Xenopus tropicalis: one gene and its partners. The protein of the gene in region 6 interacts with the protein of the main gene of each other region in a biochemical or structural test. Links are inferred from orthologs where the notes say so. Each region holds a gene or a part of one and is shown on either strand. Other genes may lie near its edges.

The links.
Region 1: the proteins of crk (region 6) and dock1 form a complex in vitro, tested with the Homo sapiens proteins (3 studies listed by BioGRID and IntAct, with this or other methods). The link is inferred for Xenopus tropicalis from reciprocal best matches to the Homo sapiens genes CRK and DOCK1.
Region 2: the proteins of crk (region 6) and rapgef1 form a complex in vitro, tested with the Homo sapiens proteins (4 studies listed by BioGRID, with this or other methods). The link is inferred for Xenopus tropicalis from reciprocal best matches to the Homo sapiens genes CRK and RAPGEF1.
Region 3: the proteins of crk (region 6) and erbb3 form a complex in vitro, tested with the Homo sapiens proteins (2 studies listed by BioGRID and IntAct, with this or other methods). The link is inferred for Xenopus tropicalis from reciprocal best matches to the Homo sapiens genes CRK and ERBB3.
Region 4: the proteins of crk (region 6) and map4k1 form a complex in vitro, tested with the Homo sapiens proteins (2 studies listed by BioGRID). The link is inferred for Xenopus tropicalis from reciprocal best matches to the Homo sapiens genes CRK and MAP4K1.
Region 5: the proteins of crk (region 6) and arhgap32 form a complex in vitro, tested with the Homo sapiens proteins (2 studies listed by BioGRID and IntAct, with this or other methods). The link is inferred for Xenopus tropicalis from reciprocal best matches to the Homo sapiens genes CRK and ARHGAP32.
Region 7: of the proteins of crk (region 6) and abl2, one has a biochemical effect on the other in vitro, tested with the Homo sapiens proteins (2 studies listed by BioGRID and IntAct, with this or other methods). The link is inferred for Xenopus tropicalis from reciprocal best matches to the Homo sapiens genes CRK and ABL2.

What each region holds. Positions count from the first base shown.
Region 1 is NC_030683.2:24,114,550-24,118,049, forward strand, and holds part of dock1 (dedicator of cytokinesis protein 1), read right to left. Parts: intron 2,268-3,500; coding exon 2,111-2,267; intron 1,311-2,110; coding exon 1,177-1,310; intron 1-1,176. UniProt on the Homo sapiens protein: Involved in cytoskeletal rearrangements required for phagocytosis of apoptotic cells and cell motility. Along with DOCK1, mediates CRK/CRKL regulation of epithelial and endothelial cell spreading and migration on type IV collagen.
Region 2 is NC_030684.2:12,193,211-12,196,710, reverse strand, and holds part of rapgef1 (rap guanine nucleotide exchange factor 1), read right to left. Parts: intron 2,792-3,500; coding exon 2,613-2,791; intron 852-2,612; coding exon 695-851; intron 1-694. UniProt on the Homo sapiens protein: Guanine nucleotide-releasing protein that binds to SH3 domain of CRK and GRB2/ASH. Transduces signals from CRK to activate RAS. Involved in cell branching and adhesion mediated by BCAR1-CRK-RAPGEF1 signaling and activation of RAP1.
Region 3 is NC_030678.2:137,690,874-137,694,373, forward strand, and holds part of erbb3 (receptor tyrosine-protein kinase erbB-3), read right to left. Parts: intron 3,494-3,500; coding exon 3,420-3,493; intron 3,271-3,419; coding exon 3,180-3,270; intron 1,870-3,179; coding exon 1,664-1,869; intron 460-1,663; coding exon 327-459; intron 1-326. UniProt on the Homo sapiens protein: Tyrosine-protein kinase that plays an essential role as cell surface receptor for neuregulins.
Region 4 is NC_030684.2:80,427,211-80,430,710, forward strand, and holds part of map4k1 (mitogen-activated protein kinase kinase kinase kinase 1), read right to left. Parts: intron 2,811-3,500; coding exon 2,729-2,810; intron 2,619-2,728; coding exon 2,499-2,618; intron 866-2,498; coding exon 790-865; intron 693-789; coding exon 631-692; intron 1-630. UniProt on the Homo sapiens protein: Serine/threonine-protein kinase, which plays a role in the response to environmental stress. Appears to act upstream of the JUN N-terminal pathway.
Region 5 is NC_030683.2:72,445,810-72,449,309, forward strand, and holds part of arhgap32 (rho GTPase-activating protein 32), read right to left. Parts: intron 2,406-3,500; coding exon 2,251-2,405; intron 2,146-2,250; coding exon 2,074-2,145; intron 305-2,073; coding exon 1-304. UniProt on the Homo sapiens protein: GTPase-activating protein (GAP) promoting GTP hydrolysis on RHOA, CDC42 and RAC1 small GTPases. May be involved in the differentiation of neuronal cells during the formation of neurite extensions.
Region 6 is NC_030678.2:46,102,802-46,106,961, forward strand, and holds the start of crk (adapter molecule crk), read right to left. Parts: upstream 2,801-4,160; 5' UTR 2,673-2,800; coding exon 2,453-2,672; intron 1-2,452. UniProt on the Homo sapiens protein: Involved in cell branching and adhesion mediated by BCAR1-CRK-RAPGEF1 signaling and activation of RAP1.
Region 7 is NC_030680.2:99,888,316-99,892,295, forward strand, and holds the start of abl2 (tyrosine-protein kinase ABL2), read right to left. Parts: upstream 2,801-3,980; 5' UTR 2,452-2,800; coding exon 2,265-2,451; intron 1-2,264. UniProt on the Homo sapiens protein: Non-receptor tyrosine-protein kinase that plays an ABL1-overlapping role in key processes linked to cell growth and survival such as cytoskeleton remodeling in response to extracellular stimuli, cell motility and adhesion and receptor endocytosis.

The DNA of each region.
Region 1 (3,500 bases), on a different chromosome or scaffold from region 6:
TGTGCAAATTCAGTGATTCTCGCGCACCTCAGGGAAAAGGGGAATCTTATGTAACAGGCACATCTGTAATAACAGCAGCAATCTGTCGGCTTTCATTGCTGTGAGGCTCGGCCTGTTTGGTATCTGACTGAAATCCAGCCCCTTTGTATACAGTTTATTTAGATTAAACATGAAGGGTGCACACAGCTCTGTAACTGCTCATCTGTGAAGCTGCAATAGGCTGGAAACGTTATTCATTTAGGGAATTACTGAAAGGTTGGAAAATTATTATTTGAAAAGATTATTGAAAGATTTGAAATTAATCTTCCAAATTTAACCTTAATCTCTCCATTGTCATGCCCTGTGCTGCAATGCATCACATTAAAAATACTAGGCATGGTTCAAAAATACCCTTAAAAATACCACTGCTATAGGAATCTACAGGGAGAATGTATGGAAGCTACTGAATACAAATGTATGGAAGATGGACTGAATACAAACTGGCAAGTACCAATCCCTTTGACTTTACAGGACAACACTGAAGAGGAAAAATAGGCACAAACCAACTAAACAAATTGGTTATTTCCTCTGATTGGTTACGGGAATCACTCTGGGTCACTGCACCAAACAAAACTGTTTTACATTGGTTAGGCAGAACTGCATGATTGCTAGCCCACACTTCACTCGTCTTGCTGCCCTTTCAACCACTGGCCTCTCCAAACTTTCATTTCCTAACAAAACATCTTAAGAGGTCTGTAAGCACAGGAAGATATAAAGGGTCTCTTATGAAGACCCCCAGACCAATGCACTAAGGGGTGCAGTAGCGTGTCCCATAGTGCTCAAGATCTAACTGTGCTTGGGTGTGTGCAGCCCAGTCACTACCAGCTGGTAAAGGCAGGCACTGTATTTATGGGGGCAGCGTCAGGCATCTGGAGGAAAGAGACCTCAAGGCGAAAAGGTGGGATGGATTTGTCCATGCAATGTATTTGACATACATACACATGAGATTAAAGGACCACTTCAACAAAACCCATCACAATTTGGATATTTTATAGTAGAACGCTGCAGATAAAGCCATTCTCATTCAAATTCTATTGATTTAACTACTGGGTTGGAAATGAAAGTCAGAGGGCACACAGTATTAGATATTAACGCAAGCACATCAGCACCAGAGTGGGATGCCTGTAGCAACCTTACCCTGTGAGGAGGGGGTGGAGGAGTTGAAGGAGTTACGGAATCCGTGAAATCCATGACATTGCCGTAATCTGCCGTGCTCCCTTTGACTGGAAGTGGAGGGGGGGTAGCCACTGATTCACCGTTCATTTCCACGCCTGAAAAAAGTAAAAAAGAAATCAAAGTTAAACCAATTTGTCAAATGAAAGAACTCATTTAAATTCATGCTGTTGAGATTACACATAGAGACATCCCTTGCAATGGTGAAGATTTAAAAGAACCATTAAATACAGTAGTTTGATCAAACCGTAGCAATACCTGTGGATTCTAACAATGACCACATCCCATGCAGATGGGCTTTTTACATGGCTCATATGAGTATATGCCTGGATATCAATATATATTAACTCTGCACTCAGCACCCTACCTCCCTATGCGGTCATTATTAAATAGTAACATTTACATGTTAGGGATGCAGACAATGCCTGAGAAATACAATGTACTGGGCTGCGTAAGATTACTTGGAGAACTGTATATGGATTATATGAATGATAATTTACTTTCTTGCTGTTTGGACTTTTCAAACTTAAACCTCCCTTGGGGTCCCCATCCCTCACTTGAAAGCATTCTTTGGTAATACCAAAAACTAGCACACAACAATCCCGTTACACTAGCCCCACTCCACCGTACTGAAGATCAAGCATTTTCTAACATAAGATAAACATAAGATCAGACAGAAATCATAGAATAAGTCCAAAGCACTCATGAAAGTAAGCCATTTTTAAAAAATGTTTGGTACTGACCTATGGCCATCATGGCAGTATGAGGGCTCAGTGTTTCCCCCAGGGACAGCAACATTTAACAGTGATTTTCTAAAGTGTTGCTTCTCTTATTCTCTGGCCTTAACACGTAACTGAATACAGCAGATTGGATTTGGAAATATAAAGAATATCCTTACCTGATGGAAGACTGAACAGAGCCCTAACTCTTGGAGTAATGGGTGGTGGCTGGGTTTGTTGTGGGGTAGCTGGGCCTGGAGATACAGAAATCCGCCTTTCACCAGTAACGAGGTTGAGAACTTGGCTTTTTGGTCGCTGAGGCCTTAAAGGGCTTATCTGGGTTTGGGAAATAACAAAAGCGCTTGAAGAAAAATGCTGCAATGGTTTTATCCGAGTTGTGCACAACTGTGTGTTACTTATAGTTATAGTACAGGTATGGAACCTGTTATCCAGAATGCTCAAGACCTAGGGTTTTCTGGATAAGGGATCTTTCGGTAATTTGGATGCCCATGTCTTTAGTCCAATAAAAATGTATTACATCCTAAAAATATTTTTTAAATAATAATTATTTGCTTATTTGTCCTTCCCATCCCCCATAGACTACATTTCTGGATAACAGATCCTACACATGTATAGATAATTAGTGCCTGATAGATACTTTGCCAAACTGGGACTGGTTTTGGGGGACAAAGTCAATTTCAGTTACACAGTGTAAACACATTTTGGGACTTTAGGGCATCTGTACCCTAATTATAAGGTTTGAAACCAAGATGTCTTAAAAACAACCAAAAAAAAAACCATGCAGTCTACATTATAGGGATGCACATCACTGTACTTGTATATCATACAACCTGTTCACTGTAGTCACTGGTGTGAACAGGTTGTATGATATACAAGACAAACAAATAGAAGAAATCTTGAAAATCTAGTCTACAGGAAGGCTGCCCAGCTATAGTCCCCCAAGATGTGGCTTTCAAGTTATTGTATATGCCCCTTCTTCAGACTGCTGTGTACAACATCATTATTTTTATATTATGCAGGACATTAACATGCAATATGTCAACTAACTGATACAATGCATGAAAATGATTGGTTAAGAGTTGGTATATGGGGCCAGCCAACAGGCCTTCCCAAAAGATATCTGGCCACAAATCGGGCCGATATCCATCAGGAAGGTTTGATCTTCCCGTCAGGGTGGGGGCCACATAAGCATATTGATTTGGTCCTTTCCCTGATGGCTGTAATTACAATTCCATCAGTGGTGGCAATTATAATCCGGATGGATCTTTAGCTGTATGGCCCCCTTTACATGGAGGTTTTACATGCAGAGTTATACTGAAAACTGCCCATGCTATCTCTCGTTGACTTTAAAGGAACAGTAACGCCAAAAAATTAAAGTGTATTAAAGTATTTTAAATATAATGTACTGTTACCCTGCACAGGTAAAGTTGTGTATTTGCTAAAGTAACAGTACTATAGTTTATATAAATGAGCTGCTGTGAAGCCATGGGGGCAGCCATTCAAGCTGGAAAAAAGGAGAAAAGGCACAGGTTACATAGCAGATAACAG
Region 2 (3,500 bases), on a different chromosome or scaffold from region 6:
TATGGCCACCTTAAAATGTGCTCCCAAAATTCCCACTGTGAGGTAGGACCCTTGGAGTTGTAGTTCAGCAACTTCATGCAGGAATGCCAAAAGTTGGCCATATCTGTTCCATGGAGGAGATGATTATAGAGACTAGTGCAATTGGTAAATGGAGTTTAGGGTTCCCAGCCATGAATGGGACATTTCTTTCTATGGATAGAGCATGTACAGCAGCCATAGAAACATTAAAGTGCCAAGTGTTGACATTGCCCTAACCCACTTTTGCTCTCTTGCTAAACAGATTCAGACAATATTTTCTTTCCATGGAACTTATGAAGAATAGGAAGTGTGGAATACACACACTGTTATTGTATTTTAGGATATATTAATCCATTTTCAAATAAAACAGGCCTAAATAACATGCTTATATTTTACACACTGAATCAGGATGTTGTTGGGTGGAGATCCCCTTTAACTAATAAACAGTTATATCTGTAGTTATGAATGTTAAAAAACACTTTTTACTGGCTATTTATATATCATTTCCCTAAACGCCGCTGGGCGCCAAATGTTGACGCTATTCAGTGGGAGGGCTGCTAATCCATGAAGTAAGAACAATGGATTTATGGGCTTGGCACCGGAGCTCATTAGGAAATGTGCTGGAAACACAAACGAGCAGCGGTCTCAGTGGGAGTCGCACAGCAGGGATACGAACCTTCACGCCATCCAGGACGGCCTTTATCACGTCTTTGACGGTGGTGACCATCTCCTTGTCCTCCGAGTTGACGCCTTCCAGCATGACCTGGTCAGACCAGCGAATCAGATTGGCGAGGGATTGGTACACGCGGCTGTAGCAGGAAGAGATGGCGGTGCTGGGTATAAAGGAGAGATAGAATGATAAGCGTGATTTATTCAAAATATATCATCCCCCCCTTTTTGACGTAGTATTCCGCTGCCGATTAATAAGGACTCATTCCCCCCACCCCTCCTTAGGCTAGCAGAATCATTCAACCCCTCCTCCTTCACTTTTTACCATGTTACAGAAGGATGTCTGCTTTCCAAGGTGGGGGAAAGAGTCTATGGAAAGACAACAAGTCGGACTTTAAGTCTAAGAATCTCTTTCTGTAACATGGAAAAAGGTGAAGAAGGGGTTAAACTACTCTGCCAGCCTAAGGTGGGGGTGTATTTCTTATTATAATCTATTACTTCAACATTAAACTCTCTTGACCTGACTTGTAGGAACCATTTTGCCACTCCCCTTAGGCTGGCAGAGTCATGCAACCGCTCCTTCTCCTTCATCCATGTGATGGTTTCTAAGTGACTCTACCAGGCTAAGGGGGCGGAGAAAAGGTTCCTATGAGTCAGAGGCAAACTATGCAACTCCTCCTTCCATGTTACATTGGTGCTTTCAAAAGTGACTGTAGCAGGCTAAGGGGGCGGGGAAAAAGGCTCCTATTAGTCAGGGGCAGACTATTACAAAGGGGGGGGGGGGGAGGGATATTTTTCCTTTAATAATACATATTTTCCCAATATGTGGATATGAGATTCTTCAATATTACTTACAGCTCTAAAAACAAGACACTTGGGCAAAACCCTCAGGGTCACACTGAACATTGCTATCTATGCCCAAAGCAATGTGATGTAAGACAGTTACAAATAATGATGGGATGGGACAGATCTCCTGTGGTTTAACAGCATTTGACTACATAACCTACCTGGATTATTTCCTAATAATAGACTGTGGTGTAATTACATAGATACATAGATCTTCCCATAATTTGGATCTCCATACCTTCAGTCTACTAAAAAATCATTTCAATGTTAATTAAACCCAATAAGGGGTAATTATATCTTAGTTGGGATCAAGTACAGGTACTGTTTTATTATTACAGAGAAAAGGGAATCATTTAACCATGAAATAAACCCAATAGGGCTGTTCTGCCCCCAATAAGGGGTAATTATATCTTAGTTGGGATCAAGTACAGGTACTGTTTTATTATTACAGAGAAAAGGGAATCATTTAACCATGAAATAAACCCAATAGGGCTGTTCTGCCCCCCAATAAGGGGTAATTATATCTTAGTTGGGATCAAGTACAGGTACTGTTTTATTATTACAGAGAAAAGGGAATCATTTAACCATTAAATAAACCCAATAGGGCTGTTCTGCCCCCAATAAGGGGTAATTATATCTTAGTTGGGATCAAGTACAGGTACTGTTTTATTATTACAGAGAAAAGGGAATCATTTAACCATTAAATAAACCCAATAGGGCTGTTCTGCCCCCAATAAGGGGTAATTATATCTTAGTTGGGATCAAGTACAGGTACTGTTTTATTATTACAGAGAAAAGGGAATCATTTAACCATTAAATAAACCCAATAGGGCTGTTCTGCCCCCAATAAGGGGTAATTATATCTTAGTTGGGATCAAGTACAGGTACTGTTTTATTATTACAGAGAAAAGGGAATCATTTAACCATTTCTGCCCCCAGATGGGATCAAGTACAAGGAACTTTTAAAAATTACAATTATTTGCTTATAATGGAATTTACAGGAGATAGCATTTTAGAATTTACACATGAAGGATTTGAATTCAGTTCTCCCAGGCAAAAAGTGATGGGGGGTCACCAACCTTTCTTGACACCGAGTATCCACTTGCACCAATGGCAAAATGGCTTCCAACACTTTGCTCGCCGACCCTGGCAGCATCACCAGCACCATCTTGTCCACCGCCATCTTGTCAACAATTGTCTTAAAGTAACGCAAGGCATTAACGACTTCTTTCTCCTGTTCCTCCAAGCGGCTTAAGGTCTAGAAATAAAATTGGAACAAGAATCATGTATCGGTTGATTTTACAGATGAAACATATCAAACGTTTCACCTACTAAACAGATGGCAAGCTTCAACAAGAGGGATAAGATGAATTGAGAAGAAGGTAGGCTACAAGGTATCACTAAGCCCTACATGACTTTAATATTGGTGGGAATAGTGACAGCGTGGGGGGTGGTACTATGGAATACCATGAGTATAAGGATGCATCCGGTATGTAACCTTGGTTCACTCAAAATTAAGACGACAAGATGGGTCTGTAGTTGGGTTCTGACCCTACAACAAGAACACAAAACACCTATGTATATTGAGAGCAGGATGGGTTGGGTCTCATTTGTAGCTGGATTCAGGACCCTACCACATATACACAACAACACACATATCCAAGATGGGTCTGGTGTTTCATCTGTAGTTGGGTTGGGTCCCTCATCTGAAGCTGGGTTCAGACCCTACCACAACAATAAATATTCATGATGACACCAGGGTGGGTCATGTGTTTTATCTGTAGTTGGATTCAGACCCAACCACAAGAACACATATCCAGGATAGGTCAGTTGTTTCATCTGTAGTTGGGTTCAGACCCAATCACAAGAACACATATCCAGGATAGGTCAGTTGTTTCATCTGTAGTTGGGTTGGGTCCCTCATCTGAAGCTGGGTTCAGACCCTACCACAACAATACATTTTCATG
Region 3 (3,500 bases), about 92 Mb from region 6:
GCCGGTCTGATAATCAGGTTGCTATATTGCTTCAGGCTCAGAACCAGGAGTTCACATCTGTGTGACAGGATCCACATGGAACAAACATCTCTATACACTCTACAGCGAGACAGAGCACGACTTGTGGTATATTATATAGTCGGGAATACATTTCCAATTCCTGGGTTTTTTTTTTAATTTTCCTTACACATTCATGTCGCCATACATGTAAATACACTATTAAATAAATTGTATAAACTAGGAATAGTGTGATATAAATGAGACCGGCAACATAAAAGTGTTCTGAGAAGGAAATGTCTGCTATCTACCCCTGGCCCTCGACTCACCCTTCAGTGAAGTTACAGGATTGCAGGCATACTCCATTTCTGCTGTAATTTCTGCAGGATAAACACTGGTCTGGCCCAGAACCCCAGCATCCATTGTTAGAGCAGAGAGGGTCACATACCTTCCCTTCCTCCACTGAATAAAATAAATACAGAGAGATTTAAGGCAGGTGGAAGGACACAATAAACTAAAGGTAACATCTGACAAACTTAAGGTGGCCATACACGTAGCAATAACGATCTTTCATAAAAGATTGTTCCCACCCTCCACTGACGTTCAGGGCTGAATTGTCATATATAAAGGTAGAACCAATACAAATTCTACCTTCACTTGCCGATTCAGCCCTAAACGTACATTTTGTGTCTTTTAACCTGGCCAATCAACGAGGCGAGCAATATCCTCAGCCTTTAGCCTTTCTTACACTGATCTTTTTACCTATTCCCACACAAGCAATTTTTGTTTATTCAAAAATAAGTGACCTACTGGCATCTATCTCAGAGCTCATCCTTACTAGAGGCTCAGAAGTTGCCTTACATGGTTGACAAGGTTTCATTCCAGTGAGTAGAGGAGACACCTGTTATTAGTGAATGGCTTTAAATTCCTTGCAGGATATAGTAATCATTGATCCATTCATCTGGGAATATTGGTGCCCTTTGGTGCATATTCCCTTGCACTAATCTGCAGCTGCAATTTACCCACAGCAAGTTTTTGTTGCTACTTATCAAAGCTAAAAGCTACTTTGCATAATTTTGATGCAAGTACCATTGTATAAATGTAAACAAAATGATATCAGTTATGGCATCAATGGTATCAGTGATGTTATTCTGTTGCTATTATGCCATACTTTATTGTAAAATATATGATTTTTCCTATAGCAGAATTGCCTACAGAAACTGAATGTGCAGAAGTTTTACATTGAAATAGCAAAACCTTACAAGTCTCGTCTTCATTATGCTGCTCAACTCTAGAAGGTCAAGAATAAATGGGTATCTGCTTGCTATGAAGCAGCACTCCTTATGGCAGGGTTAACACACCCCCTCTGAACAATGGGGGGCAAGCAGGCTGAAAAGGGGAGCTACCCTGCCGATACACAGTGCTCATGTCAAAATAATTTATATACTGCTTTACCTGAAGGGGTAAACAATGAATATGCATTTTCACCCTAATTACTGCATCTACTCCTGTTAAATCAGACTAATATGTTTTGATTTTGCCTGTTGCCACCTCACCCCTTTAATATCTGTCACATGTTCAATCTATGTGCAGCATGGCTTTTTAGCAATTCATTAGTGCCAATCACGAAAAGGGACACAGAATAGCACGTAAATGTTTTATTTACCACACTTATTCTTCTTTCTGTTTCCCTTGATTTCAGTGCTCTGGCGAGGGTATGTTGGGAACAAAGATGTCCAGTTCACAGTGTCACAATAGCAGAGATTCTGGTTCTCTGCAATATATACTTTCCCCGCGCTGATTTCCTGCAGTGAGCGGAACCCCAATGAGGTCACGTTGCTGTTTTTCATCACAAGTAGTGAGAAGCCTCGGCTGAACAAACAGTTATGTCAACGTAAGGTGTAGTCAGCAAAAAGTTAGCCTTTTGTGTTTTTTCCTATACACTTTTATTTTGGAGACATAACCCACTCATATACCCAGTGACTGCTACTTAAAGGAGAAGGAAAGGTAAAAACAATGTAAGTTTTATCAGAAAGGTCTATGTAAATACAGCCATAAGCACTCACAGAAAAGCTGCACTGAGTTCTCTATCAAAAGAAACACAGGATTTCTTGTCTCCTTTTGTGTAAACATGTTCTTCCGTATCAGACTTCCTCTCTCAGAAAAATCCTTCATTCCTGAGGCCAAAGTCTGCCCAGTTCTCTCTTCTTGCCCTCTCCTGCTCCCCCCTCCCATAAAATTTCATAAAACTCCCTCCCCCCACCCTTAGGAATGTGTAATCTGAGCTATAACGGCTAGAGCTATACAGCAGGGAGCTATGAACACCAAGCTAAAACAATCTTAACAAACAGAGAAAGCTTCTAGGGTTCTTTACTCAGGTATGATAAATCTTTCTGCAGAATAAATATAGAGTTCTAGGTGGCACTAATGTGGTGGATCTATTGGCAGTTAAATGCAAAAATGACTTTCCTTCTCCTTTAAACATTAAAATAGAAACATAAAAGGTCTCAACTCCAGTAGTTTGTAAAGTAATTACATTTTTAAGAACCTGTTTTACATATATATATATATATATATATACAGGCTCGGATGACGGCACACACAGGGTTTGCATATAGATGTCACTGGGTCAAATGAAAATTAATTGCATCAGAGGTTTATTAGTTCCAACGTTTCAGCTCCACACAGGACGAAAGCTCCTGTGTGGAGCTGAAACGTTGGAACTAATAAACCTCTGATGCAATTAATTTTCATTTGACCCAGTGACATCTATATGCAAACCCTGTGTGTGCCGTCATCCGAGCCTGTATATTGTTTTTGCGCACAGGCACCCAGGTATCAACTTTTAACTAATGGTGTGCTGCTTACTAGCATCTTTCTATATATATATATATATATATATACACACACACCATCCAAAAAAGACCAGTAACTGGGATTTTACTCAAAAAAGTATATTTAAATGTGCATATACAGAAAACGTATAAAAGATAAAAATATATCTGCCCCCCCTGCACCCCGAGGAAAGTACATATTACTTCAATCCCATCTTAATAAAATGTATTTATTTACTGCATGCATGTTTGCTGTTGTATTACATAAAGGCACTGCTACCTACCCATGCATGCTAGCTGAGCTGTGTGGATGTAGAAATATATAGACATCACAATAAAACCACTTACGTATGGAGAGTCCGTCCACCAATCGTACTGAGGCTGGAGAACACACTGAAGTCTGTCAGGCTCTTTGGCCAAGACTGAATGTTCAGGTACCCTGGTGTGAAGGAAACAGAATGGACATGTAAGAAGATCAGTGTGTAACAATGTGTAATGTCTATACCAGCAAAATATCTCTGCTTTCCTGATAAGTCACACGAGACTGGAAGCAACTCCTTCCCTTTATAAAGTTGTCGGATGTCTTACCAGTGATTTCCTTCACTGTCTTGAAGACGCTTAGTTTTTTGGGGTCTAGAGCTGTGATATTTCTCCACAAATCTCTAGAAT
Region 4 (3,500 bases), on a different chromosome or scaffold from region 6:
AAGCGGAAAAATGCTTTCAGATTGAATGAGATACGCTCGGGTGCAGGCACATGTAGCCGATATACGCATGAAAACGCGTGAGAATGCAAAGTCTCGCGTTTTCATGCGTATATCGGCTACATGTGCCTGCACCCGAGCGTATTCTGGCACGTCTGGCATCAGCCTAACACCCTGCCTATAGGTGTACAAGGATAAGGACAGAATGAAGCACAAGGGCCTGAACTCACCTACTGAATACAACACTGCTGAATGGAGGGTCTACCGCCCCCTAACTTGTACACTACATAATTTACATGTTTGGATGTTATAGAGTGGCTGTGGGTGCAGTGTTAAAAGGAATCCTAAAAACTGGATTGCCATGCGCTGCAGCTGCACCTCTGGAGGGATTTTTAATCCAGCGTGAGATGCAAAGTGCATGCATGTGCCCGATGCAAGTGCTTTTTGGAGTTTTGCACCCCTATATGCTTAAGGTTCCTCTCCTGTTTTTGCCAGTCACACAGTGTGTAAACTGTAGAACAATCATGTTTATTTTATTCCTAAGAGCAACTGAGGCTTACTGAAATATTAATATGATATATCCCCATGGATAGATGAATTGCACATATCATAAAAAGTTGCATTGCTCATTACCAATATTAATGCAGGATCTCCTTCGCTACTTATTGCCATCTGCTTTAAATTGATCTGGTGCACTGTGGAGAATAGGAATTATATGTATTATTAACTTATAAAATAAATCCCAAGATAGTCCACAATCTCTATACAGAAGTCAGTAACACCAATACTTACACTGAATGTCTGAAGAGGATCGGGTGGCTTTAGGGTGGCGATTTTTCGAAAGGATGCGCGAGAAAGTGGGCAATGCCTGTTAATATATGATGTTTGCACTCTGAGATGGAAACTGCAGTATCTATTACCATTCTAAAAGTCATGGTGATCATGTCTCAGTATGCATCAGCTGAGATTAAGCCTTTGCACCAAAGTAAAAAAAGCAGTTATCACCTTTAAAGAGAAACTCCAGCTTCCGAACCAACATATGCTCCACAAAACACAGAAACCCTTAATAAATGTATTACTGTAATTTATTTCTTCAAAAAGTATGAATAAATACAATTTTTATCTGCTGAAATCCAGCTGCAAAACAGTTCTTCTCTTTCTGCATCATTTGAAATCCTGGCTAGGAAGGAGAGACTAAAACACTGACGTTACAAATTGTAGCAACTTCTCCACAGCTTACAGACAGCATGCAGGACTATATAATACTACATAACCCACAATGCATTGCATTGTGATGTTCCTTTCCTTATTGACATAATGTAGAGCATACAGGCTAAAGGCAGTACTGTTACATTTTTTTTAAAGTCTCAAAATAGTCAGCCAGATCAGCAGGAGAACAGGGGCCAGGCTTCAGTAACTGTCCCAAACCATATTATTACATTAAAAATCATGAAAAGGCTGCATATTTTTTAATTGACGTTTAAAGCAAAGTTGCTTGAAAATATGTTTACTTTTTAAAAAGCTTAAGTTGTGTTTGGGTGGAGTTCCCTTAAGGCTCATGCCACACGTGGCGTTTTTACGCTGCGTATTTTCTAATTCTCTCGGCGGCTGAAAAACGCCTGATATCATCATCCATAGAAATAGCTTGAAAAGACGCGCAGCAAACCACACAAAGCGGAAATACGCTAGAAAACGCCTAAGCACGGATTTTTCAAGCGTTGGCTGAAATACGCCAGTACTTGCAAAGCAAGCTATTCCTATGGATACGCAAAGGCAGCTGCCAGACCTAGCGGAAATACGCGGCGTTTTTTGCTATTTCGCACTATTAGCACCATGGCAACGGGATTTGCTTACGTCACCAGTTCTAGGCTGAAAAACGCCATGTGTGGCTTGTGCAGCGTTTTTAGGCTGAGAAAAAACGCTGCGTAAAAACGCCACGTGTGGCATCAGCCTTATCTGAACAATATATTAACAGCAGGCACTACGATGACTGTAATTATGGCATTGAACCATATGGTATGTGAACCTTGTTAGCTTTCCCAGTATCTCCTGTTTTGGATAGTCACGATGTCTACACTGAATTCAATTTTTTTTTCCTTCACCAGAACCACTAAGAATTCTCCTTTTATAATATTGCCTTTAATTCTTATTCTACGTTCTGTTATGAGATATCTGTTAACTGGTCAGTAACATCAAAAGTATTAAATACTTTACAAATTAATTGCTTATATTTTCCAGCTTCTGCAAATAACATATTTCTGGGTCCTATATGCTCTAAGAGGTTTTCATACTGTCTGTAGAGAGACATATGGGACTATTTTGTTTGCTATAAAACATATTTATATAAATGGTATTAGAACATCCAAAGAAGATATATGGTTCTTTCAAGTGCAAGATAACTGTGAGTGTTTAAAAAAAAATATAATAAGGATTTTATTGGTGTCCCTTTAAATACATTCTTTTTTGTGCCTTTTCTGCTGCTTTCTTTCACAGTGTCTTACCTCTGCCTCTTCTTCTTCATCTGGGTTAGGAATATCTTTGTGTTTTTCTGGATTTCTCAGTTTTTCCAGTAAGTCTTGAGTGAGGGAAGCATTGAGTGTTGGTTGAGCCACAAACTGATGCTAATAAGTAAAGATGAAAGTAATATCAGGTCATACAGACACTTCCATTGAAACTACTCTGGCTTAGTCCCACTACCCTTCCCATCCAGCTGCCCCTCCCCATGACTTACAGATAGCAGTTTTGAAGCACTTGGTCTCTTTTTTGGACTTTTCGTTAATGCAGCTTTTACAAAATTGTGGAAGGATGCTGACCTGAAAGTTAAAACAGTAAGACCATAATGATTTACCTTTTCTACTCATTTTAATTGGAAAGTAATATTGGGGTTCAAAAGATCTGTACTGAATATATTTATAAAAACAACAGCAGTGTCGGACTGGGAACCCAGGGGCCCACCAGGAAACCTTAGATTATAGGCCCACTTTCCTAATTATTTTTCCTCCTTTCCTCACCCAACCTCTCCTAGTATTTTATTTACATGCTAGCATCTATTCTTCCATCTATTTCTCCTCTTTCTTCCCATTCCGAAATAGGGAATGACCATAAAACAGGCCAAATGGTCAGGAGCAGGAGGGCCCACTGACACCTGGGCCCACCGGGAGTTTTCCTGGTATCCTGGTGGGCCAGTCCGACACTGAACAACAGTCAGTCAAGGTAGGAGACATGAGGTATGATGTTAACCTGTCAGCATATGAATGCACAGTCAATGCTAAATGTACTGCACATAGATGTCCCATGGCTTTTGCAATACAGATATCTTCACATATGATAAATGCAATAGAAATATATAATTTTGCACCGCAGATTGCAGAAACATTTGACCAATATACTTATGCACATGTATATATATACATGTATATATATATATATATATATATATATATATATATACTGTATATATATATATATATATAAACATCCCGCTGCCCACACTGACATTCACA
Region 5 (3,500 bases), on a different chromosome or scaffold from region 6:
TGAAAAAAAATGTCTGGTCCTTCAGATTCTAGCTGGGGAGGGCTGCACTGAAAAGACATTGGGTCAAAGTCCAAACTGGCCATACCAATGTCTGGTGGGCTGAGTTCTTCATCCTCAGGAGAGCGACCTGACAGCATAGCAGGCACATGAATCAAACCCTCATCTCCATCACTGTCTTGGTCTCGGGGCAGATTATCATAGGAGTTGCAACGGTTGCAGCTATCCAGAAGGTCCCCATTATATGAAGCAGACAGAGCATCGCTGCTGGAACGAGGACGACGTGGACGAAATAGCTTCGACTCTCCTGGTAGTTGAAAAATGTTAGTGTGAATTAACATATATAATGCTTATTTAAAGAACTGTAACCATCTACATAAACCGATGTATATCTACAAAGAAACTATATATATATTTTTGCGTTACCTGAAATTTTTCTAGTTTAATATAAAAAATGCATATGCTGCTTTGTTGATCAAACATTAGTAACATGTGGGGGAAATATATTATATTGTCATTTTACAGCATATTTTGAATCTGTTAAAAAAATTAAAAATATAATAAAAATGCAATGCTTCCTGCTGTATATTTAAGGAGAAGGAAAGGCTAAGTCACTTGGGGGTGAAAACCGCACCAGCCAGGGGTACCTTGAGCGAGGGCTTCCTTCTTCCTCTTTCTTCTGCCGGCAAAATCCCTGGGCCAGCACATGCGCATTAGAGTGAAAAGCCGACTTTGTTGTAAAATTTCGGCTTTTCACTCTAATGCGCAGTGCGCCAACGCAGAAGAAGGAAGCACTCCTACAGGGTAAGCGATTTAAGTCACTTGGGGGTGCCTAACATTTTGGCACCCCCAAGTGACTTAGGCTTTCCTTCTCCTTTAAAGGTCACCTTTCCTTACATGTTTAGCCTACTAAAGCTGCAAACTGACACAGCCTGTACTCAGATGGAGGTAAACAATACTGTGCAAACACCCCATTATGGGTGTGCACAACAGGGCGTCAAGACTAAAGGAGGCTTCAGTCATAAGCCTGACTGGTTGTGCTGCTGTCCATGACAGCACTATTTCTCTCAAATGGAAAGTGGGCTGTGAAAACCAACAGCTCTGGTGGGGGGAAAACATTTACATTCTATATATACAGTATATTGTGAGTTGGTCCCTAAGCTCATTAACTGACAGCAACACAGAACATGTGCAGTGAATGAGCAGAAAATAAGATGCATATTGCATATTGTATATGCAATACAAAAACACTGAGGGACTGATTTATCAAAGACTGAAGATCATAGTTGTGCAATCAAAAAAAAAAAATCTTAATTAATCTTATTCTCATGTCTTTTTTCATCGAATTGTGTAAGTACAACCTTTCACTGTTGACACATAAGCCTCGTAAATAAACATATGAGGTATACAGGGCATGTGTATATTCATATGTTCTGTGACTACACAAAAAATGTACACTTCCAGCAATACTGGAGATCTTATTTCCTTGCTTGGATTCACATTACAGAACAGTGGTGCCTTGTCAAAATTATGTAAGTTTCAGAATCAGTCTCACTTGGCTGATAAGCGTGGGAGTAACACACCTCTGGGATCATCGTCACAAGGTGTGTGACCTCACGCACCAACACTTGCCAGCCAAGCATGATGAATTCTATAGTTAGAAAGATACTTCTAAGTACCTACAGAGGTAACTGAGAAGGAGAAGCAACAAATACGTCAACCTTTTAAATTAATAACAATAGGTTCTGTGCAATTTGTCAGATTGCACATTTCTCCATTTATTTGGGTGTTATTTATATGTATCATGTATATTTTGTTAAATAATTACTGCATCTAATTTAAATGGTTTCTTAAGCTTTTAGACTAAACAAGAGAATACAAGAGAATACCAAGTATTAAGGGAAGCCCAAATCAAACACATTAGATGTTAAATTACATTTTCACATGCATTTTATCATTGTCTTTTAAAATGGTGCTAGGACGATGACTTGAAGCAAACGCCTAGTTTACTATTTTTGTTCTGTGCAATAAATTTCTTCTCTTACAAAAAAAATGAAGAACACCATAAATACATACCATCTGCTGCATGCAAGGAACTGAGAGACTCCTCGCTTTTAGCTGAGCGCATGGTGCTGCTATCTCTTCCACCTGAGGAGAAAACAATAGATATCAAACCAGTGCCAATAATCAGAAACTAACTAAATGCTGCCACTTAGATGTAAACTTTAATTCTGCTATCCTGCTGCAAAATACCTGCAAATGCCATGGATTTCATTTCCAAAGGCTCACTTGGATTACGCTGAAGTTTCCGCTTAGACATGGAGGCTGAAGATGATGATTTGCCTATGCTAAAAAAAGAACGCCAGCTTCCAACAGGAGATTTTTTCATTTTGGTTGGCGGTCTTTTCCTAAGAGAAACAGAGGGGGATTAACTAACAAAAAAAGTTTATAAAACACCATTTATTTATGAAGAAAAGAAAGGACTGAAGGAAGGAAGAAAAAGAAAAGGATGAAAGGAAGAAAAGAAAGGATTAAAAAGGAAGTAAATGAAAGAAAGCAAAGAATGAAGGAAGGAAAATTTAGAAATGAATAAAGTGATACTTGGTGGATCAAGCATTATCCTTTGTTTGTATAAAGGTAAGGTACCATACTCATGATGGACCTTAATGAAAAAGTTTTTATAAAAACTCGTCCAACAAACTGTCCAAAAAAATGTGTGGATGCAGACAAAAGTTTAAGATTTCCAGACGTGGTAAAATGAACTGCATGCTTTCAAGACATTGAGATCCCTTCTTTGGACAAACTGTTGCCTTACAGTGACAGTATACACATGAGCATAATAAATATGCCTTGTGATTACATTTTTTTTGGCTATTGTTTTGTCTAAGAAATATCTATGGTTTCTGTAATTTCTGACACTAAACAAGAATATGAAGCCAGTTTCACTTAAGTACCTACCTGATACCACTTAAATTCAAAGGAGCGAATAAAACTAATTACTAGTCTACTGAGAATCCCCTAATGAGCTGCTCAAAGGCTGCTGATTGTATGTTTGTTAAAAGGTAAATAGGGCAAAGGCACACAGGGCATATTGTCAGCCTGCGGATAAGCTCAAGCTGACAATACGCTCATACGCTTACAAAATCTTCTCGTTGTGCCTGCACCCGGATGCACTGAATTCGCCTGGGTGCAGGCACATGCAGCCGATATACGCCAATAGATGCATGAGTTTGTGTACGGGCGTAATGTCAGCCTGCACTTATCTGCAGGCTGACATAGGAAGCTCTGAACTAATTGCTTTGTTCATAAAGGAAGTGGTGTTGAGTTAAGTGAAAAGAGCTCAACTTTCAAATAAGTACTTTGCAATGCCAAAAAAATGGGAAAACATGGATTTCTTCTAAAGGCAAGGGCACACTAAGCAGATTTGCTGTTTTCCTCAGCCGTCATTTTATACAGACACAGAGAAAAACGGATCTACTCTTGTGCTCACACCCTCGTAGCTC
Region 6 (4,160 bases):
CAGGCAAGAAAAAAAAACTGCATGGATTTTAAGAATGCTAATTAAAATATGGTAGAAACATTAAAAATAAAAAAAATGAAGAAAAAGTACTGTATTTTGTATGGGTTCCAGGTAATCCAGTAAAAATATAGTGTAATTTATACTCAAAATGTATACTCAGAATCATTGCAGATGTGTCATGCAAACAAGTAGCACTGGAACACACAATACACACATGTAAAAGTGAAGAGCACAATCTGGTCTTTATTCCCACAACTTAAACCATTGGGTGACAGTGTGAATGTAGTATGTCCTATTCCACATACAATTAACAAAAAAAAAAAAAAAAAAAAAAAAAAAAAAAGAGAGAGAGAGATGGCCCTTCACTACTCTGAAATTGGGCCACACTTGCTAAGAAAATTATCCATGTGTCATGGACAAGCATGAATTGTTTCCACTGTGTGCTAAGGGGACTTTTATAAGCAAAATGATTCATGATTTTACAAATTAACTAAACGTTTCTTATTAAAGTTACGGGATTGGAAGAAACTGTTTTACGAGTTTCAGCAACTGGCCCACAATATTAATTGTATCACTATAAAGAAAATAAACGCTTATCTTTCAGTCCACAACTAAATGACTTTCCCTGCCTGCAGCTGCTTCCTGTAGGTTTGAAGGGAAATGTACTACCAATGGTAGACTCTGGCGCTGCCAGGTCAGGATTGCATGGGTATGCCAGTGATTGTTCCCTATATGGTAGTTCGGGCATTTCTCATATAAAGTGTGTGCCCAGTTCCAAAGTAGTAGCTGCTTAGCGTGCACGAGGGTTTTGTTCCTGAAAGGAATAAGGGTACAAAATGTGCCCAAATTCTTAAAGCACAAATCTGGACAATAAACTCTTTGGTGCTTGGACTTAGATCTTAATAATTGTGCATAAAAGCACAGTGGAAGACCTATATAAACAAATAAGTTGAGTAAAGATGATGTGACAATATAGTTTCCCACAAGCATTGTCCCATAAAATAAGGAACTGTAATACTGGGGAATTCCTCAACACATTTTAATTCCATGGGGGGGGGGGGGGGGGGGCAGAATGAAGCAGCAAAGTTAAATGAAAAACAAGATTTGCGGAACCGACTGATTTGTTTGTTGTAAATTCAAATTTTACCTACGTTTGGCGCAGAGATTTTGCTTGGGGTATGTTGCAATAGTGTCTTTGGAAAAAACAAAGATTGAGCCACAGTGCAATTTTTATTTATTTTTCAGAAAATCAAAGGAAGCCATTCAAAGTGCAACCTAGACTATGAATCAGTGGTTTCTCATTTGCTATCAACACTAAAAGGGATTTTTACGGATGCATTCACCAAATCAAAAGAAAAACCTTTTGTTGGATGTTCCTGTTTAAGGAAGTTGAACACACACTTTGAGGTCAGGTATGCAAACCACTAACACAACTATTTCCTATGAAATCACGGAAAGCCTCTACATAATTGAAATATGAAAAAAAACCAGTCTGCTCACAAACTTACAATTTTAAATCCAACTCCTTGTTTGCACTATAATGACCTGGGAGCAGTTGTCCATTCAGTAAATCTGGAACACAGATGACTATGAGGCCTGGACTGGCAATCTGTCTATTCCAGTGATCCCCAACCAGTGGTTCGTGAGCTACATGCTGCTCCCCAACTCCCAGTGGCCTCAAAGCAGGTGCTTATTTTTTAATTTCTGGTTATGAGGCAAGTTTTGGTTGCATAAAAACCCAGTGTAATGCCAAACAGAGCCTCCTGTAGGCTGCCATTCCACATAGGGGCTACCAAATAGCCAATTATAGCTCTTATTTTCACCCCCAGGAACTTTTTTCATGCTTGTGTTGCTCACCAACACTTTTTCCATTTGAATGTGGCTCACAGGGATAAAAGGTTGGGGATCCCTGGTCTATTCTGTTAAATGCCAGAGGGGCTACTGTGAGTTGCCATAGACAGTCACTATCAAAAATGTTACAAGTTCTGTGTAATTAAAAACCAAAAACTGGGCTACCACTGCGCCCCAACTAAACAGGGATATAACATGGCTCTAATTCTAAGACTCAGTGACAAATGGCATATAATAAGGATGGACTGTGGCTCTCAAACTAATTGCTCACAAGCTCAAATGCCTACAAATGAGTTTAATGCCCCCAGTGCACCCAATACCGGAAAACCTTTGCATGCATTTCATTTTTCTATATTATAAATGTATATCTATATATATCTATATCTATATATATATATACACACACCAGTGTTTAGTCACTATGAGCAGTTTGGATAAGAGAAATAAATGCAAAGGGAATAGGCCCTCGGCTTTCTGCTGTAAGTGCCTGGCAGCTGCGCCTCTACAATTCACTAACACATGCAATGCAAAATATATTCTATTTATCGGTATTAGTGCAGCCGCCCCCACCTCACATGCGCTGCATGTAGCCCCTACTCACCAGTCCCACTCTGCCGGTTGTTGCTGACGCTGTTGATGATATAGTGGGAAACCTTGGAGTTCTCAGAGACAGACAATACGTAGTCACCAGGTATAGTTGTGGAGTCTCGAACTAAAAACACACCGTGCCGCTGGCCCTGCAGAAGATTGACCGCCTCTTGTCTGTTCAGCTTGCCCCAGTACCAGCTCGCCCGGTCCTCGGAGTCGAAGTTGCCCGCCATGGCTTTCCTCCCCCTATGGGCCTCTCCCTAGCGCCCCGGTACTCGATACTACCACCGGCTTAAGGCGGCAAAAGACGCCGCCCCCAAACCAGACGCGGCAACCAGTCTTCTAACTACCGATCCCGACCTCACCAATCCCGAAATGGCGGCACAGGAAAGATCTGACCTCACCTTCCGGAAATGCGTCATTGGAGCAGCGACTATGGAGCGCAGGGGGCGGGTTCTCTTGACAAGTTAGAATTCTGACTTTTAAAAAGCCGTGTTTGTGCTTCTTGCCGACCAAAACTAGTGCGCTCCCATTCGGTAATCAGGCCGCTGGGTGAAATGAGCCGTTTTAATCACGTATTTGTCAGTTTCTATCTTAGGGTAGACTAATCAAAACTAAACTACTGCTGTGATTGGTAACACCAACATTTTACTACTGGCGTAAATGAGCACCACTGTCTCATTTGAGTCTTGGAAGTGAATATTAGATACGTGGTAGGGGAAACCTTTGCACGGAATAAAATACATATATGTATGCCTGTTGTGAACAGTCGCAGGTTTTATCTAGGCAATGGCAAGGTCCAAAGGTCCATTACTCCAAATTGGTGGGGGATCAGGGCCAAGAGCAATATAGATTGTAAGCTCTATGGGGCAGGGACCTCCATCCTCTTGTGTCTTTGACTCTTATTGCAACTGTATTTATCTTGTATCTATCTGTATTTATTGTTATACTTTGTATTTATCTATTATTATCTTAATAATCCCCTGTTTGTATTAATGTATTCTACTGTACAGCGCTGTGTACATAAGTAGCGCTTTATAAATAAAAATATACATACAATGCAATATGTCCAGAGCCAAAGCCACTATTCATCTGTCCCTGATTCTTTATAACTTTATTGTAATAAAATGTATTTTAGGGAATAATGAACCATCTGCTAAAATTAAAGGATGTTAGAAGTCAGCAAAAAGTTTTATGACCTTATGAAAGCAGCAGGCCAATATATAGGGACTCCATCTTACATCCTCATCATGTTATAACAGGGGTTTTTATAATACACAACACAATATACAACAATATCATAATATCAAATTATAAAAAAAAAATCATGGCTCTTATGTAAATACTAAATAGTAAATATTGCCCCCTATGGTAAAATGTAAGGATATTGTAAGTATGCATGTATATCTTTATTTATAAAGCGCTACTTATGTATGCAGCGCTGTACAATAGAATAGATAAATACAAAGTATAACCATAAATACAAGGTACAGTTGCAATAAGTTAAAGGAGACAGATCCTATAAAAATTATGAATGTACCAGTGAATTATACTCCTCTAGATATAGAAGGATTGTGCTTTAAAAAGTTGTGTTTCCTGCTGATCTATTGAGAAATTCCACAAAAACCCCACTAGCCCCGCCCATCCGTTCCACTTCCTGCTGGCTGAATTCTCTGGATGAGCTGGGGAGCCGGTGGCCCTCCCTACACTGCACTATAAGA
Region 7 (3,980 bases), on a different chromosome or scaffold from region 6:
ATCATCCCAGTCTCTCTTTATTTACATTTTACATATTGTCCAAACTTTTTTAGAAAAGGGGTTGTAAGCCATTCATTGTACATTGGAGCTTAGCAACACTATTTCTTAGCACACGCATTAGGGTTCAACATTTTTCACATTTAAAACTTTGCCCTCAAATATGTTTTAATAACAGAGTATAAAGTAGCTCCCGCGGGTTTCTGGCCAAACTGATCATCACTAGGTTTCTCAGATACATGCTGAGAATGGATTTATAAAGCAACCCCATATTCCAAAGAACTGTACAATACATGGGTGTATACAGTGAACATACAAAGATAAGACTGATATTGTTACAGGTATAGGACCCATTATCCAGAATGCGCGGGACCAAGGGTATTCTGGATAAGGGGTCTTTCCGTAATTTGGATCTTCATACCTTAAGTCTACTAAAAAATCAATAACATTAATTAAACCCAATAGGATTGTTTTGCCCCCAATAAGGATTAATTATATCTTAGTTGGGATCAAAGTACAAGGTACTGTTTTATTTTTACAGAGAAAAAGGAAATCAATTTTAAAAATTTGAATTATTTGATTAAAATGGAGTCAATGGAAGACGGGCTTTCCGTAATTCGGAGCTTTCTGGATATCAGGTTTCTGGATAACGGATCCCATACCTGTATTAACATTTATTTATAAAGTGCCAACATATCCCGCAGCGCTGTACAATAAGTGGGTTTCATACACTGGACATACAGAGTAACATATAAAGCAACCGATACAAAAGGCGAAGAGGGACTTGCCCAAAAGAGCTTACAATCTGCAAGGTATCCAATACAAAAGGGCCCTGCTCAAAACAGCTTACAATTTAAAAGAAGGGGTACGAGAAACAAGGTACAATGTCAGGGTCCAGTTCCGGTAAGGAATAGGAAAAATTAATAGGTTTAGAGTACTAAGGACACATTTATATAAAAGAAATTTAAAGGTGCCATTAGAACTCCAATCTGTCCAAAAACATGCTTAGATCTTCTCTATTTGAAACTAGAACCCAAGATTTGCCTTACACTGGCCCATTCCCTGAGACCATTTATAAAAGGCTTTAACTTTATAATCGCCTTTGGCATTAGAACTTTTCTTGAAATGTCTGCATCTTTATCACTGCTATAAATAACATTTACATCCTCCGTTATTAACATAGGGCCTGCTGCCAGTTCCATGCACCTTTTCTCAAGTACAAAGGATCACTAAGCTTAGGGCTGTCCAACTAAAGGCCCATGAGGTGGATGTGTCCTTCCACTGGATTTTGCAGGCGACTAATCTCCCCATGTGCCAGAGCCCTAAGGCCTCTCTAAAGTATACATCATAACTTTAACATAATATCTAAATCAGACCACTACAGGTAAACAAATAACCACTGATTTAAGTTGACCATGCACCACATCTACACTTGGTCCTTGTCTAACAAGATTTTCAAACATCCACGATAATAATTGCGCAGGCTGTCAGGAGGCTGCAGATCTTGTGCGGAGGGACTGAGGCAGCAGCTTAAGGTGGCCATACACGCACTGATATTGTCATAGGAAACAATACTGGTTGTTTTATCAATCGGGCAGGTCTGCAAATTTTGATCGGGTACATCTAAAGGTGCCCGCATATTAATGCTGAATGGTAAGATAGGGGTAAAAATGCCTTTATTTTTACTTGCATATGTGACCATTCAGCTCTTAAAATTAGTAGAGTGAATGAACAATGGTTGTGAGAAAGGTCAGGATTGTGGCATGTATGACCACTTTCAGACGCAGATTAGTACACCAGAGTACTTTCTGAAGTGGAGAATGAGACAATGACAATAAAGACAATGACAATAAAGATATATTCTATTCTAACTGCATCTTGTGTGAATTGGGATTTATGGATGCAAATAAGACAGGTACTAATTAAAATGTGACCCCAATATATGTTGGGTGCCTCCAATGTGTGATATGAAGCTCTGTCAGAATTCTTAATCAATATATAGGTGTAATACCTTATAAACCTATCAATACTATTGCTAAAAAGTCAATGGACTGCCACAATTAGTATTTCCCTCTAGCTGACTTGGTTGGCTTATTGGTAAGAGAGATATGAACTGCTATGGATGTCCTATACTAGCTGTGTCTATGTTGTGGGCTGAAGATGCGAATGGACTACAACTCCCAGCATCCCCGTATGATAAATGTGTTGTTTACAAAGCGCATGAGAGGTGCAGGCTTGACATCCCCCGCCCAGAAGACACAACATACCGTGCTGTGTAAAAATGTTAAATCCAGTCTCTGGGTTGGTTCTGCCTGTCGCTTCCCTTCTCCGGCTGCTGGTTGCTGCTATGTTTCCCACATGTGCGCTTGGCTTGGTTCCGCTGCCTCTGGCTCCTCTGTGCGGCTGTTGAGCACTAGGTGCTTCACCTCCGACGCGGCCTACCTGCTGGCCCATCCCCGGCCTTTAGTAAGCTGCCTCCCCACCACTGCAGCCGCCCCCACCGGGATGGCCCAAGGCAGGCCGGTCACATCCCTCTCGTTGCTAACAGGTTTACGTCCGGTTCCCCCAAGCCAGAAAATATTTCCTCCTTTCCGACTCGCCCAAGATAATACAGTTCCGAGTCACAGCCGGGCTGCGGCTTAGCAATCCCACAGTCACAAGCTCTGGCTCCGCGCCTCAGCCGCAGCCCAGGCCGCCGCCATCTTAATCATCGAGAAGCTAGAGAAATTAGGCAGTGCGCCTCCTGGGTCCCATGACGAAAATCTACAGCGCCCACTTCGGCTGATTCCAGCAACGCCCCAAACATCATGGCGACGTTAAGAGCCCAGGTCCTGTGTCATTTAGTGAAATTAGTCACCAAGTGTGTTAAGGCTTAAAGGAGCATAAAAGGCTTCTCAATAAATATCTGCCTGTGGAAAGGACTGCTACCCTTAAAAAGGGGACAAATCATGATTCGCCTTTATTAGTATTAACATATTATTGATGGAAGTAACCTTATAATGTTTGTAATGTTTAATGTAATGTAATGTTTACATGTTACAATGTTGTCTTGTAATGTTTACTAGTGCCAGTAGTCTTTGGGGCACATTTACTTACTCACGAACAGGCCGAATGTGTCCGATTGCGTTTTTTTCGTAATGATCGGTATTTGGCGATTTTTCGGAAAATTGTTGCAACTTTTTCGTTGCCATTCCGAATTTTGCGCCGATTTTTTCGTAGCGTTACTACTTGCGCGAAAAGTCGCGACTTTTTCATAGCCTTCGCGCCGAGTACGAAAGATTCGGATTCATTCAAGCTTCAGTATCTGGACTTTTCTTGGGCCAGGTTGGAGCTGCAGGGTGCCATTGAGTCCTATGGGAGGCTTCCAAAATCATGCTAAGTCTGAAAGTTTCGCCCACCGCTTACGAGCGCTCAATACGAAAAAGTCGCGACAAGATACGAGCGAATCGTAATGGCTACGAAAAACTCACGTTTTTTGCGCAAATCGTATTGGTAACGAAAAAGTCGCGACAATTCGTGGGTTAGTAAATGTGCCCCTTTGTCTTCTTTTCTCCATATGTTATGTGTTCACAGTCATACTTGCATAGTTGCAAAAGGTGTCTTAGCACACTACCTCACCAAGGTACTTTCTGAAGTGGAGAGGTATACCTTCACATCTTCAGGTCTCATAATGGCTTCTTTTTAGTTGCAGGCCCATAGAAAGCCATTTGAGGGAATTTATCTCAATTTTGTTTACAAATAATTGTTGCCTTTATTGAGCTAACACTCTTGAGAGTAAGGTTGCCACCTTTACTTCTGGCCCATAATGTAAGAGGCAGGGATGGCGTTGTAGGGGCAGGATGATGCAGCTGCTCCGAATACAGTGAGTAGGCAGGTTTGGGGCATACAGAGGGAAGTGAGGGGACGGGCAGGTGGGGGGCAGGCACATAGGGATTACAAATTTATTGTCAACTACATTGCTAGTAAATTTGTAATATCGTCCT